Drosophila melanogaster: one gene and its partner. The protein of the gene in region 1 purifies or fractionates together with the protein of each later gene. This does not show direct contact. Each region holds a gene or a part of one and is shown in the gene's direction. Other genes may lie near its edges. The genes, in order: CG4949 and Tep4.

Region 1 (4,863 bases):
GCTGTTGCTGGTAGTGCTGCTGCTGCTTCCTCTTCTCGTGGAGAAGATAATGCAGCCTTATTCCGATTTTATCCAATATTCTGGGGCCTTTGGCGCCTCCTGTTTGCTCCTCCTTTTGCCTCCACCGCTTCCTCTTCTTCTTCTCACCTGCCAAGGCACGCTCGCTTGTATGTGTGTGTGTGTGTGTTGTGGTCTGCTTGTATGGGAGGCTCTCAGTGGCATGTGTGTGTGTGTGCTTTTCGTCTGTGTGGCCCGCTGACTCGGTGTTTGTGTGGCGTATATGTGTGCCTGAATTGCGGTCGCCTTATTATCGGCTTATTTTGCTGCCTCCTAAAAGTACAAACATTCATAGCAATCCTTTAGACAGCTTCCTTTTTGTCCTCTCCTTAATGCAATTAGCATTCGGAACGCCTTTAATTTTTCACTTAAAGCACACACGGCATTCGCCTCTGCGTGCACGACCGTGAGTGACTGTGTGCGTGCGTCTGTGCATGTGTGTGTGGTGTCGCTTGATCCGTATTTCGTTTGACTTCTTTTCAATTTTACTCCCTTTTTTTCTTGGTACCTTACCGCAATTCGCAATTTGCCGCTCGCCTTCTTTGCTGGGCTGCAATCGCCGCATTTATTTGCTCAGCATTGAACGACAATTGTTTAATTATATGCCGACTTGCTGTGTTCGCTTTTTGGCCTCTATACTTGATGATTTTTTTCAATTCTTTTGCATTACGCTTTGTGCGGTCTGTTCGTCGGCACGGCTGTGTTGAGTTTGCCAGCAATCGGTCGCTGCGTGCGGCTATCCCTCTCGCGCGGCACGCTATGCGGGTGCGAGAAGAGTTCGGCTATATGTGCCAATTGGCTGGTTGATATGGTGGACTCTAGGTGGCGCCCCGTTTGTGGTATTTTTTAGTGCCTGACACCGCTAGGCGTTGGACGGATTGCAAAATGGTCACTCTGTAGCCGGGGATGCCAACTAGGTTCGCATTTAAATTCTTTTTTGGTTACTGTTAAATAATAAATATATATATAAAAACATAACTTTTAACTTTTAACTTTTAATTTGACTTTTGTTATTGTACATATTATGTATATACGCAATAGCTGATCTTTATAAACTTTCGATGATACTGAAATAGTTTTAGATATAGATAGTTTATATTAATTTATCATATATTGCACAACATCATTTCGATAGTATCGCATAATCATTTCGGGCACACTGCTCAAGGGTATTCCTATCGGATGTATTGTTTCTCGATAAGCCGACTTAAAAATTATATGTTTTTTAAAAAAAATTATATATACATATTTACACTTGAGAAATAAGAAAAAGCATTTGCATATTATTAAATTCAATAATTTTTTAATTTAATATAAAACAAAAGAACAAAGAATGATAATTCAAACTGAAAAACAATGAGATTTCTTTTCATATGCAAGATCTTAAGGTGGTATAACTGGTAATAATAATTATTTGACCTGCTTTGCTAAATGCCCTTTCCGACTCCGACGAAGTTGTCCATCGACTTGCGTCAGTTTCACCACAAACCCAAAATATATATGACTGCAAGCTAATATTTGAAAGTAATTAATTATTTGAATTAATTAAAATAGTTGAAGAAATTCTAGTGATTAACCTAAAAACATCGATAGTCTGAAATAAGCATCGATGTTTGGAATATTTAAAAAAAAACCTCGGTGCATCGATATTAGCATCGATGTTTCGGCACCTCTATTAAAAACTCATCCCGATACCGATAATAGCGGCAGAAGAATTTTAGAATTCCTTAAATATATATTGTTTAATTTGTAAGCATTTTTAAGGAATGAGTTTGAGCGACTGCAACAATAACTATATATATTTGACGGGCAGTGAGGATTACGCCCTTAATTTGGCAAAGGTAAGTTCTGAACATCGGATTCAGGTCGGTTTTTGAACATCAAATTGCATTTCTTTTAGCTATGCGAACGCTTTGCCACCAAAGAAAAGCGCGTCTTACTGATCACCAGTCGCCAGCAGGGAATGGCAAAGCGCTATCCATGGGAGGCCCATAACTGCAGCAAATACCTGACCATTCTGCAACTGGTGGATGTGGAGAGCACCCCGCTTCGCATGCTGGAAATGCAGGATAGCGCCGAATCCTTGCGCAGTCCCGATTTGATAGTCTTTGATCTGCAGTCGCTCGTTTTGGATGCACTACTGCGTCCTGTGATGCAGCAGTGCTCCACGAACAAAATGGTCCGGCAAATTGCCAAGTGCTCCGCATCCTTTGTGAATTACCGCGAAATCCTGGCCAATCTGGCGGAACAGAAGGCGGGCAAAAGCATCGACACCATTGTGGTCATGTCGCAGGAACCGTATCCCATGTCAGCAGCCCAGTTCAAGCTGCTTATTGGACTCTATTTCCACGGCAACGAGTGCCACACGAATTTTGCCAAGCTCTCGGCCAAGATCATGGTCTCCCAGAGATTCGCCTAGACGAAGGACAGAAGTTTGGAGCCACTACAGTGCCTTGGTAACCAGTTCCTGAGTTTAATCATAGCTGGCAGTATTGTAGTTATTCGCCGTATGCTCTTGCTTTTCAAACAATACTTACTTAGAACGTTTACCTTATGCATTATTAAAACATGCATTTTGTCAGGTTAGACGAATATTTTCAAAGCTGGAACGAATTTTCCAATCTCGAACGAATTTCGAGTTATTAAGACTGCATTTCCATTTTATTGACTTAAAGCTATTCATATTGCCTTCCCAAAAGATATCCAAATGGGGAACGGTCGAATATTTAAGAAAATGAATTTATAAAAGGCAAGGCACGCTATATTATATCCGCATATAATACTAAGACAGTGCGTACATTTGGCAAGAACTTAAGAAATACTGTACGTTGAAAATATCTCCCTACATGGCATCCATGCAAAATGTTATACGAAAGCGAAGCAATCGAATGCTCGATCAAATATAAGACTTTATTATAGTATACTATTTAGTCTAAAAGGGATTAAAACTACCAAAAAAAAATTGCTGATAATTAATTATAATATACATACATATAACAATAATATTTATTATGCTAAACGGAAATCTCAACTTAAGGGAATTTATATGAAATAAAAAAAAAATTTCGAATGCATAAGATACGTAAATGCAGCTAAAAGTATTGGAGAATGTATTCCGGAAATACGGCTAGTGATCTCCGGAACGCAAGCCACCAAAGCCCGTTTAAAAGGAACTAAAACTCATTCACATGTAGCCCCACCCCAAATCCCTGCTGCCTTCGTCTTCGATTGGAATCCGATCTCCGCATCCCAGCCTCATATGTAGTCCAGCATGCCGCTTATGATCTCAAAGGCATCCCGAGCCGTGGGCTCAATGGCGCTGCTGGGCAGCAGATAACCGTGCACTCCGTTGTCCGCCAGCTGGAGCGTGTAGCTGAAGGGAATTCCGATCTCGTAGGCGGCAAAAGCGTCCGCACAGCCTGGATAAATCAAGGAAGCCAAAGGATTGGCAAGGTCGGATAAAGATCTCTATTATATTCTACTTCGAAGCAAATAATATAAATATTACGCACCCGATCGCTGTTCAATTAGATCGTTGGATGCGTCGACCTTATATCGGGACTTACTACCCTTTTTGCGCAATCCATCGGTACCCACCATCGCCACGTCCAGAAAATCATCCAATCTTTCTGAATTGAAAGTGGAATTGGCCTTGACCGGATAGGATATCACCTGACCATAGGCCTGTAGGGAAATGTAAAGCTGCAAAAATAATGAATAAAGTTAATAAATCAAAAAATATATCTATTTTAGAGAGTTAATATAAAAATTATATATTGTTCTAAGCATACCTTTATCTGCGTCCTATAGTCCATAAGGAACTCAGATACTGCCTTGGTTTCCGGTTCAGAAAATGGCGCTGGACCGGCGTAGAACTCATTGCAGGGTGCCTTGGAGCTACCCCGTTTGCCCCAATGATACAGCCAGTTTCTGTCCAGGTCCACCCCGTAGCAGACCTTATCCGGACCCCGTTTTTGCTGGAGCCATGTCATCGCCGAGTCGAGGAGGCCACTGGGAGGTGGAGTCTGGTGCTGAGATCGCGACTTCTTCCAGAAACGATCGTACTCGTGGCTGTACGCATATCCGTCCGGATTCAGGACCGGCATTATGTACCATGTGGTGTTCCGGATGAACTCCACGTCCTCGTTGCTTTCTGTTGAGTAAACGTTTTATGGGTTATTTTTATACATAACTTTACATAATGCATATGAAATAAATGTTAATAAATATTAATTCTCTTAAGAAAATAAATACGTTGTTCAACCGATCAACGTAGCCGCTTTTCCCCAACTCAAATTACATTAGTTATCCCTTTGTCAGTCCGTTAGTCAGTATATTTGTAGACCCAGAAATCGATAGTGTATACTTTAGACCTTTACAGCTTGCCACTTCTCCTCCAGTTGGACCAAGATCAGAATGGAGAGGCGAAGACCCCGAAAGTCCTCGCGTAAATACGTGTGCTCCAAATCAAACTCTTCAGTTGGAGGAGGAGTAGAGGAAGACAGTGGCTCATCATTGCCTGCCACCGCCAAAGCGTTACTCCTCCAGCCGGACGGTAATAAAGCACCAACCATGACATCCCTTCTGGGCGAACGACTCAGAAGAGTTTCTCGCATCGCAAGAGCTCCGCACAGCCTACAAGTTACCGAAAATCCAGAAGAAGGTGGAGCACCAATCGTACCACTAAGAGAATCCGGCGCATCGGAAGTGTCAGAAGTAAATCCGGGGGTTATGGTCATTCCGGAGTCGGCCAGTCCCCGGGGATCGGCGGTGCATGGACAACACGCTAGCTTGGTCTTCAGTGCT
Region 2 (7,838 bases), on another chromosome or scaffold:
AGTTTTTTCATAAAAATATTTGTATATTCAGTTAGTTATTATGAGCGTATTTTGCAGGCAGTATACTTTCTGGGTGAAAGCCAAGGAAGATTACTTGTTACAAGCAAATTAATTCACCATACATCACCACAATTTAATTAATCATGAAATTACAGCGTTTTAAAGCTAATTCCTTTCCTAGATTGCAGCGTATTCATATCACCCAATATCACTACTTATAGATTACACGGAACCGAACCGCACGAGAGAAAGAACAAACGGGGAATCACCAAGAGAAACGCAGTTGAGCGAATATCTCTTATATATTGGCATTACTCATCGCTACATTATATACCCGTTTCATTTGCAAGGCAGTGTGAAATACAGCCAAGTGACGTCATCATTCGGCAAATCAAGAGAGCGACATCTAACAAAACAACAACAGCTGACTCAGAGAGAGCAGGAAAGAGTTTTCGATATATATGTACACAACGCCTAGTCAGTTGGTCTCCGTATTTCGATTTAGGAGGCAGTTCCGTTAACACTGCAAATCAACAAGTCCAAATAATATTGCACGCACGTCATTTGCCACACGACAAAAACATAAATATTTGTATTCAATTCATATATTGGGATTTTACGCGAGATCTTCGCAAAAAATCATTTGGGCTTTTCCAAAAACCAGATAATGTACGTAAATTATTTAAAAGGAAAATCTATATTTCAAATCATTGCGAAACACGAAGCGACAGTTATTGGTGACAATTAAAGTGTTAATTATCGAAAAACCCCACACGAAATATGAATAAGTTGTTATAATTTGACTATTGCATGACGATAGTTCTGTGACAAATAACTGAAATATCACTCATGGGCAATCAGTAATACCAACTTTCTGTTCTTCTATACAGTCACGCCTATTTGTTCGCCCTTTATTCGTAATATTCATATAATATATTCATTTCTAAAAATGGTGAAATTCGAAACATTAATTTTTTGCAATTTTTTAGCAGTAAATCCCTATTTCCCATTTATTAGTCCAATTATGATTGAAACTGGCCCGAGTGAATACTCGAATCAATATTTGAAAATATGATGAAAATAGAAACATTCATCTTTGGTGTTTTTGAACAGTAAATTCCCATAAATCCATCCTGTATTGTATTCTTTTGAACAGTATGTTCCCCTAACTTCCTTCTAAAATCAAATTACGAATGATTTTTAAGCTGAAATTGGTCCAAGTGAATACTCACAAATGTAATATTTGTAAATATGATAATTAGAAATAATCATCTTTGATCCCTTTGACCAGTAAATTCCCATAAATTCCTTCTTAAATCAAATTACGAATGATATTTCAGCGGCAACTAGCCCAAGTGAATACTCACGAATGAATATTGATATTGGAGTGCCGGCGTTTTTTGTGGCCATGTTATTATTGTTAAGGTTTTGTTTGCCCAACTCGCGTCATCGATTTCAGTGGGCGCACCACATACACCGCCACACACACACACACACACACACACACCACAACAACACACACTCTGCCAGTTTTATTTACTTATAATTTTTATCAGTTTTTTTTTTTACGACTTGCTCGCCCCACTGGAGCTCGGCTTCGTCTGCCGGGCCTGGGGTTTTAGAGTCGCTCGGTATTATAACAAATCCGTGGGCCATCGAACCGAACCAGTCCCAGCTCGGCTCTGATCCCAGTCGGTCGCAGTCGCTCAGTCGCTAACCAAACTTCCGCCAGCATCGATCCCGCGCATTATAGCCTTATAATATCTGTGCTCTTATTTCCCATCCTTTTTGCCCTCATTTGACCACCAATCCAATCAAAATGCGTCGCGCAGACGCTTTTGCTGTCTCGCTTTGTGTGATTTTGGCCTTGCTGCAGACGATGGAACCGGTAAAAGCCGAGGGGTAAGTCCATATACCACAAATACTATACTATATGATCGGATCGATTTTAAAACACATCTACGGTTAGAGTATTAGTAGAGTCGGGTTAGGAATTCGCAAAAATATAGGCGATAATCAAAGCCAGATATCTAAAACTATAGTTCTTTACAAAGCTGGCCTATAAAACGTATTGTTCTTACTTCGGTTATTCGGTTGATAATTTGAATAAAAACTGATGGCTAAAAATTTTAACCATTTCCCTAATACGCTAGTGGTTGGATTCCCGTCTCACTCGAACACTTAAACACAGATTACTGCAATCCAAACTATATTATCTATGTTTATTACTTATTACCACTATTATATTCACAGTCACTGTATGGCTGTCGTCGAATATTTCAATTAATTAGGTATGCATATATGTATACAGATAGGGCCGTTTTTAATGAACATCAAGGTAATTAAGCTGTTATTTATACGCAAAATCACCTATTAGCTTAATTGTTTATACCATCTGGTTTGTCCTTGGATTTATAGGAGAGTTTTTTTACGGTTTTTACAAATCACTAACCTAATAACATTTTGCTCTACATTTTTCAAATAGTAATTTAACTTTTAGATATATAATTATGTATATAGCAAATGTTAAACATCGTTCCTTATCACACCTATAAGATTAAACACTAGACTTCTGTCCACGTAGTGACGATGAGCACCTAAAAGGGTGAATTTGGGGAAATTCAATAAAATTGAAAATCTGGTACGATAGTCCGATCACAACTATTCACTCACTTCAAAAATATTCAGAATTTCTTTTTTAAAGAGGTTTAGTTACTCCGAACTAATATCTGGTATTTAATTTTTGAGTTGAAGGTGCCATCGCCACTTTAATCTCACCTTGTTGAGGGGTGTTTTATTTTCTTCATTTTTGTTGAGCTCAACTTATGATGCTAATTGAGTTTCACTGTAAGCCATTTTGAATATGGATTTTTATATTTTTTACTCAAACAAGAGGATCACGTCACATACTTTGTTTGCCTCAATGGTTTCGCTGATCAATCTTTCACACGATCTTAAATCTGTACTTTTTCCTGTCCCGCCAATTATTAGTAATTAGAAACGAATATGAAGGTGGGTTATGGAACACACTTAAAAATGTCATAAACTTGAAGTCTAACATAAAAGGCTGGAACAAATCTAATCCAAAAAAGTTAATGATGTTCAGGCTAACAATATTGGTGTACGTGATCGGGGACTGTAAGTGCGAGAAAGATTGCTAATCGCAAAAGCTGGAATTATGTAATCTCTAAGCCGGTTTCATACTTTTCAGTAGAAGATCAGGTTCTGGGAATATTATCCGTTATATATATATATACATATATATTTCATCATTTGCTGTCACAGATCAAAAAAACCATAACTCAAAAACCTAAACCGAATCTTAGACTGCCTTTTAAAGATTGGGAACATTATCAAGTCGAGGTTAATGGTTTTAAGTTTCATTTCTGTGTTTCCCTAGAGATTAGACAATATACATTTATTTTTGAATTCTTAGAGCATGGTCAAGAATTTGATATTGATAATTTGAATATTGATAGCTATAGTTACTATCAAGAAATACAATACTATATATTATACAAATACAATACTACAAATATTTCCAAGTGGATATGTGTATGTTTTTTTCTCTTCTTGGAATTTTTTATGGCCGAATTGTTATTTGATTTTATTTTGTTTTTCATGACAATAATGTTGATGTTTTCTTTGCTTCCAGCAAGTACACCATTGTGGGTCCCGGAACCATCCACTCCCACCGTGACTACAATGTGGCCGTGGCTGTCCATCAGACCAAGGAGCCAGTCACCCTGAAAGTGGGCATCACTGGACCCTCCTACAACAAAACTGAGACCGTGGAACTAGCCACTGCCGGTGAGTTCAAGCAGATCACCTTCAAACTGCCCCCATTGGAGGCGGGTGAATATAATCTGACGGCGGAGGGCGTCAAGGGACTGGAGTTCAAGAACTCCACCAAGCTGAACTGGGAGAATTTCAAGCCATACATTAAAATCCAGACCGATAAGGGAAAGTACAAGCCCGGTGATACTATCAACTATCGTGTGATCTTCCTGGACGAGAACCTGCGGCCGGATACCGCTAAGGATGAAGTGGTGGTTTGGTTTGAGGACTCCAAAAGGAACCGCATCAAGCAGGAGAAACACATAAAGACCACCGGTGGCGTCTACACTGGCAAATTCGAGCTCTCCGAGTTCGCCACATTGGGCTCCTGGTCCCTTCATGTTCAGAATGGAGATCAGCACCACGACGGAGGTATTTACTTTGGGGGTCGTAAACAATTTGGAGGATTTGGTCATCGCTGGCATCGCTCGGATGAGCTCGTCAACTTTGAGGTGGAGAAGTACGTGCTGCCCAAGTACTCCGTCAAAATGGATGCCACGCAGCAGGTTTCAGTGCGAGATGGCGAGTTCAATGTCGTCCTGAAGGCCAAGTAAGTATTACCGGAAGTTTTATGCTTTAGGACATTCTTATATCAGCATTATCCCCCAGCTACACCTATGGTAAGCCCGTGAATGGTAAAGTTCTTGTCAATGTCCATCTGGACTCGACGAGCAGTTGGGAGAATGTGGACGGCAAGACAGTGCAAACGGACTACCCCGGACATTCTGTTGTTGGCACCGCCGACATGGTCGGAGGCAAGGCCAAGTTGACCATGGATCTCAAGGACTTCGCCAGTTATCTGCCGCACAAGACCTCTTCTTCATATGCCCAGATTACGGCTACCGTGGAGGAAGACTTCACCGGCGTGAAGCTCAATGAAACAGGCGGTGTGCAGCTGTACCCCTATCGGTATGAGATGTCCTGCACTGACTACTCCAGTTGCTTCTCCTTCAAGCCCGACAAGGAACATGAACTTAACTTCAAGATTACATATGTCGACGGCTCACTAATTACAGACACCAAGTCTGTTGTGAAGGTGGGTTAGAAATCTTAAGAGATCTGTCACTACTTATAAATTCGTTTTAACTCTAGGCCAAGTTCACTGAAGGAATTCGACGCAATTATGCTTTCTATGCCTTTGGAACAGATCATCAAGAACCGGAATTGCCAACGATTGAGAAGAAAACGTTTGTGTTTGAAAGCCATTTGAATGCGTCTGGTGTGGCGCCTTTCAAGGTGGTTCTTCCCGATTTGCCGGATATCGCCAACTTTACTCGTTACTATAGCATTGAGCTGGAGTTCGTCGATGAAAAACGAGATCTGTACACCACTTATCCCTACAGGGAACCAAAACAGATTGAAAATCCTAGCTCTGAAGAGGAAAAGGAGTGGTTCAGGGCAGAAGTTCAGAGGCCCAAGGACGTCTGGAAGTGAGTACAGTTGAGTTGAGCAAGGGTTCCACGATTTTAAATAACCATATACAATACTTCTATTGCAGCCTCAAGATCGGGCAGGAGTATCAAGTAATCCTCAACTCCAGTCGTCCGCTCAAATACTTTGTGTACAACATTGTGGGACGTGGAAACATATTGGAAACGAAACGTGTGGACCTCGCGGAACCCCAAACGACCGTCAACGTAACCATTAAGCCCACTTTCCTCACTACTCCCTATGGTCGGGTGTACTTCTACTACGTGGATGAGACAGGAGAGTTCCGATATACCGAGGAAACATTCAGTGTGGAGGTCGAGCTGCAGAACCAGATCGAAATCAAGGCTCCCGCGGAAGTTAAACCGGGTGCCGACGTTGCACTGGAGATCAAGACGTCGCCAAAGTCATTCGTTGGATTGTTGGCCGTCGATCAGAGTGTCCTTCTGCTGGGCAGCAACAACGATTTGAACAAGGAATCCTTCAACTGGCGCCTAAATGGCTATGACACCTCAACTCCCTGGCAGGGTGGATACTCCTACTACCCCGGAGAGCGAACTGGAGTCGTGACTATGACCAATGCCTATTTCTTCTATAATCGCACCGCCCCAGACTACAATATTCGTACGTATAAATTTGTCATAATAATAAACCACATTAATTTGCAATTATTGGAAGTTACAGAAGGATTTGGTGGAAGCTCTTTCGCCATGAGAAAGACTACAGTGGCACATGATAGTCATGTATTCCATTCCGGTGCTGGCGGACCAACTCAGGCCGTGGGATTCTCCGCCGAAAGTGCGTCTGCATCTGCAGCACCAGTAGTGCGAAAGAATTTCGCAGAGACCTGGATCTTTGCCGATATCGAGAGCACCGAGGAGGAGGTGTTCAAGTGGGTAAAGACCATACCCGATACGATCACCAACTGGGTGGTCACCGGCTTTTCACTGCATCCCCAGAAGGGATTAGGTGTCACCAATGATCAGACAAATATCAAGACATTCCAGCCGTTCTTTGTCTCCGTTCGATTGCCATACTCCGTGAAGCGAGGTGAGGTGATCAATGTACCGGCACTGGTCTTTAACTACCTGCCCAAGACACTGGACGTGGAACTGACCCTGGACAACGAGGATCAAGAGTATGACTTCGTGGATGCCTCGAATGAGGTTATTGGTGACCAGAAGCGTACGCAGAACATCAGAGTGGGCGCCAACGAAGCGGCAGGAGCCTCATTTTTGATCCGACCCAAGGTCATTGGAAATATTTTGCTGAAATTCAAGGCCATCTCACCGCTGGCCGGAGATGCTATACACAAGCCGCTAAAGGTAGTGCCCGAAGGAATTACCCAGTACCAGAACAGGGCATTCTTTATCAATCTTAAGGATACGGGTGAGTTTAAGAACACCTTCGAGCTGGAAGTGCCGGAGGATGTGGTCCCCGACTCCGAGCGTGTGGAATTCGGATTGGTGGGTGATCTCTTGGGACCAGTGGTCAAGAACCTTGAGAACCTGTTGCGATTGCCCAGCGGTTGCGGTGAGCAGACCATGTCCAAATTGGTGCCCAACTATCTGGTGAGGGATTATCTGAAGAGCATCAAGAAACTCACACCTGCATTGGACACTCGCATCAAGAGGAATCTGCAGGACGGATACCAACATATGTTGCACTATCGCCACGACGACGGCAGCTTCAGTTCCTTTGGGCCCACCAAATGGAGGCAGGAGGATCCAGTGCGCAATGGTTCCACCTGGCTGACGGCCTATGTGCTGCGCTCGTTTAGCAAGATCAAGGATATAATTGACTTGGATGAGCAGATCCTGGCCAAGGGCTACGAATTCCTGTTAACTCGACAGGCAGAAAATGGTAGCTTCACGGAACACGGAGAGTATTTCTATAGCTCCCAGCGATCTCTATTGACATTGACCGCAAATTCCTTGCTCGCCCTGCTGGAGGAGGAGAAACCGAACCAGGCTGCCATTGACAAGGCGGTTGCCTATCTGAGCGCCAATACTGCCGAGTCCATTGAGCTCCTGCCCAAATCCATTGCCATTTATGCCCTGCAAAAGGCCAAGGCGCCGGAAGCTGCCAAGCAGGTGGCCAGTCTTAAGTCCCTGGCCAAACACGAGGACGATCGCACCTGGTGGACCGAGGATCTGGATAAGCTGCGTGCCTCCAAGAACTGCGGACGCTGGTGGTGTTGGATCTGGAGTCAGGATGTGGAGATCACATCATATGCGCTGCTTTCCCTTCTGGATTCAGACCAGGAGACAGCCGACTCTGTTCTGAACACCGTTCGCTGGTTGATCGCCCAGCGTAATGGCTTCGGAGGATTTGCCTCCAGCCAGGACACGGTTGTCGGCCTCACCGCCCTCATTAAGTTCGCTGAGAAGTCGGGCTACGAGGCGGCCAAGTGGGAGGTGACCGTTTCCAACAAGGGAAAGCGTGAAAAGACCGAGAAGCTCAACACATCGGAGGAAAATGACCTGCTCCTCCAGACAGTCGAGTTCCCACAGGGCACCAAGTCGCTGGAGTTTGAAGCCAAGGGAACTGGAGCTGCTATGGTCCAGATAAGC

What was found.
Region 2: the proteins of CG4949 (region 1) and Tep4 purify together in Drosophila melanogaster (affinity purification with mass spectrometry, with the first as the bait; one large-scale study listed by BioGRID). This does not show direct contact.

The regions. Positions count from the first base shown.
Region 1 is NC_004354.4:17,077,111-17,081,973, forward strand, and holds CG4949 (uncharacterized protein), read left to right. Parts: upstream 1-1,729; 5' UTR 1,730-1,823; coding exon 1,824-1,898; intron 1,899-1,957; coding exon 1,958-2,476; 3' UTR 2,477-3,312; coding exon of another isoform or gene 3,313-3,476; 3' UTR 3,477-3,569; coding exon of another isoform or gene 3,570-3,759; 3' UTR 3,760-3,848; downstream 3,849-4,863. Other genes in the region: CG8945 (uncharacterized protein), read right to left, coding at 3,313-3,476, 3,570-3,759, 3,849-4,210; CG4955 (uncharacterized protein), read left to right, coding at 4,474-4,863.
Region 2 is NT_033779.5:19,548,027-19,555,864, forward strand, and holds the start of Tep4 (Thioester-containing protein 4), read left to right. Parts: upstream 1-1,666; 5' UTR 1,667-1,819; coding exon 1,820-1,902; intron 1,903-3,655; coding exon 3,656-4,387; intron 4,388-4,446; coding exon 4,447-4,873; intron 4,874-4,929; coding exon 4,930-5,267; intron 5,268-5,335; coding exon 5,336-5,889; intron 5,890-5,943; coding exon 5,944-7,838.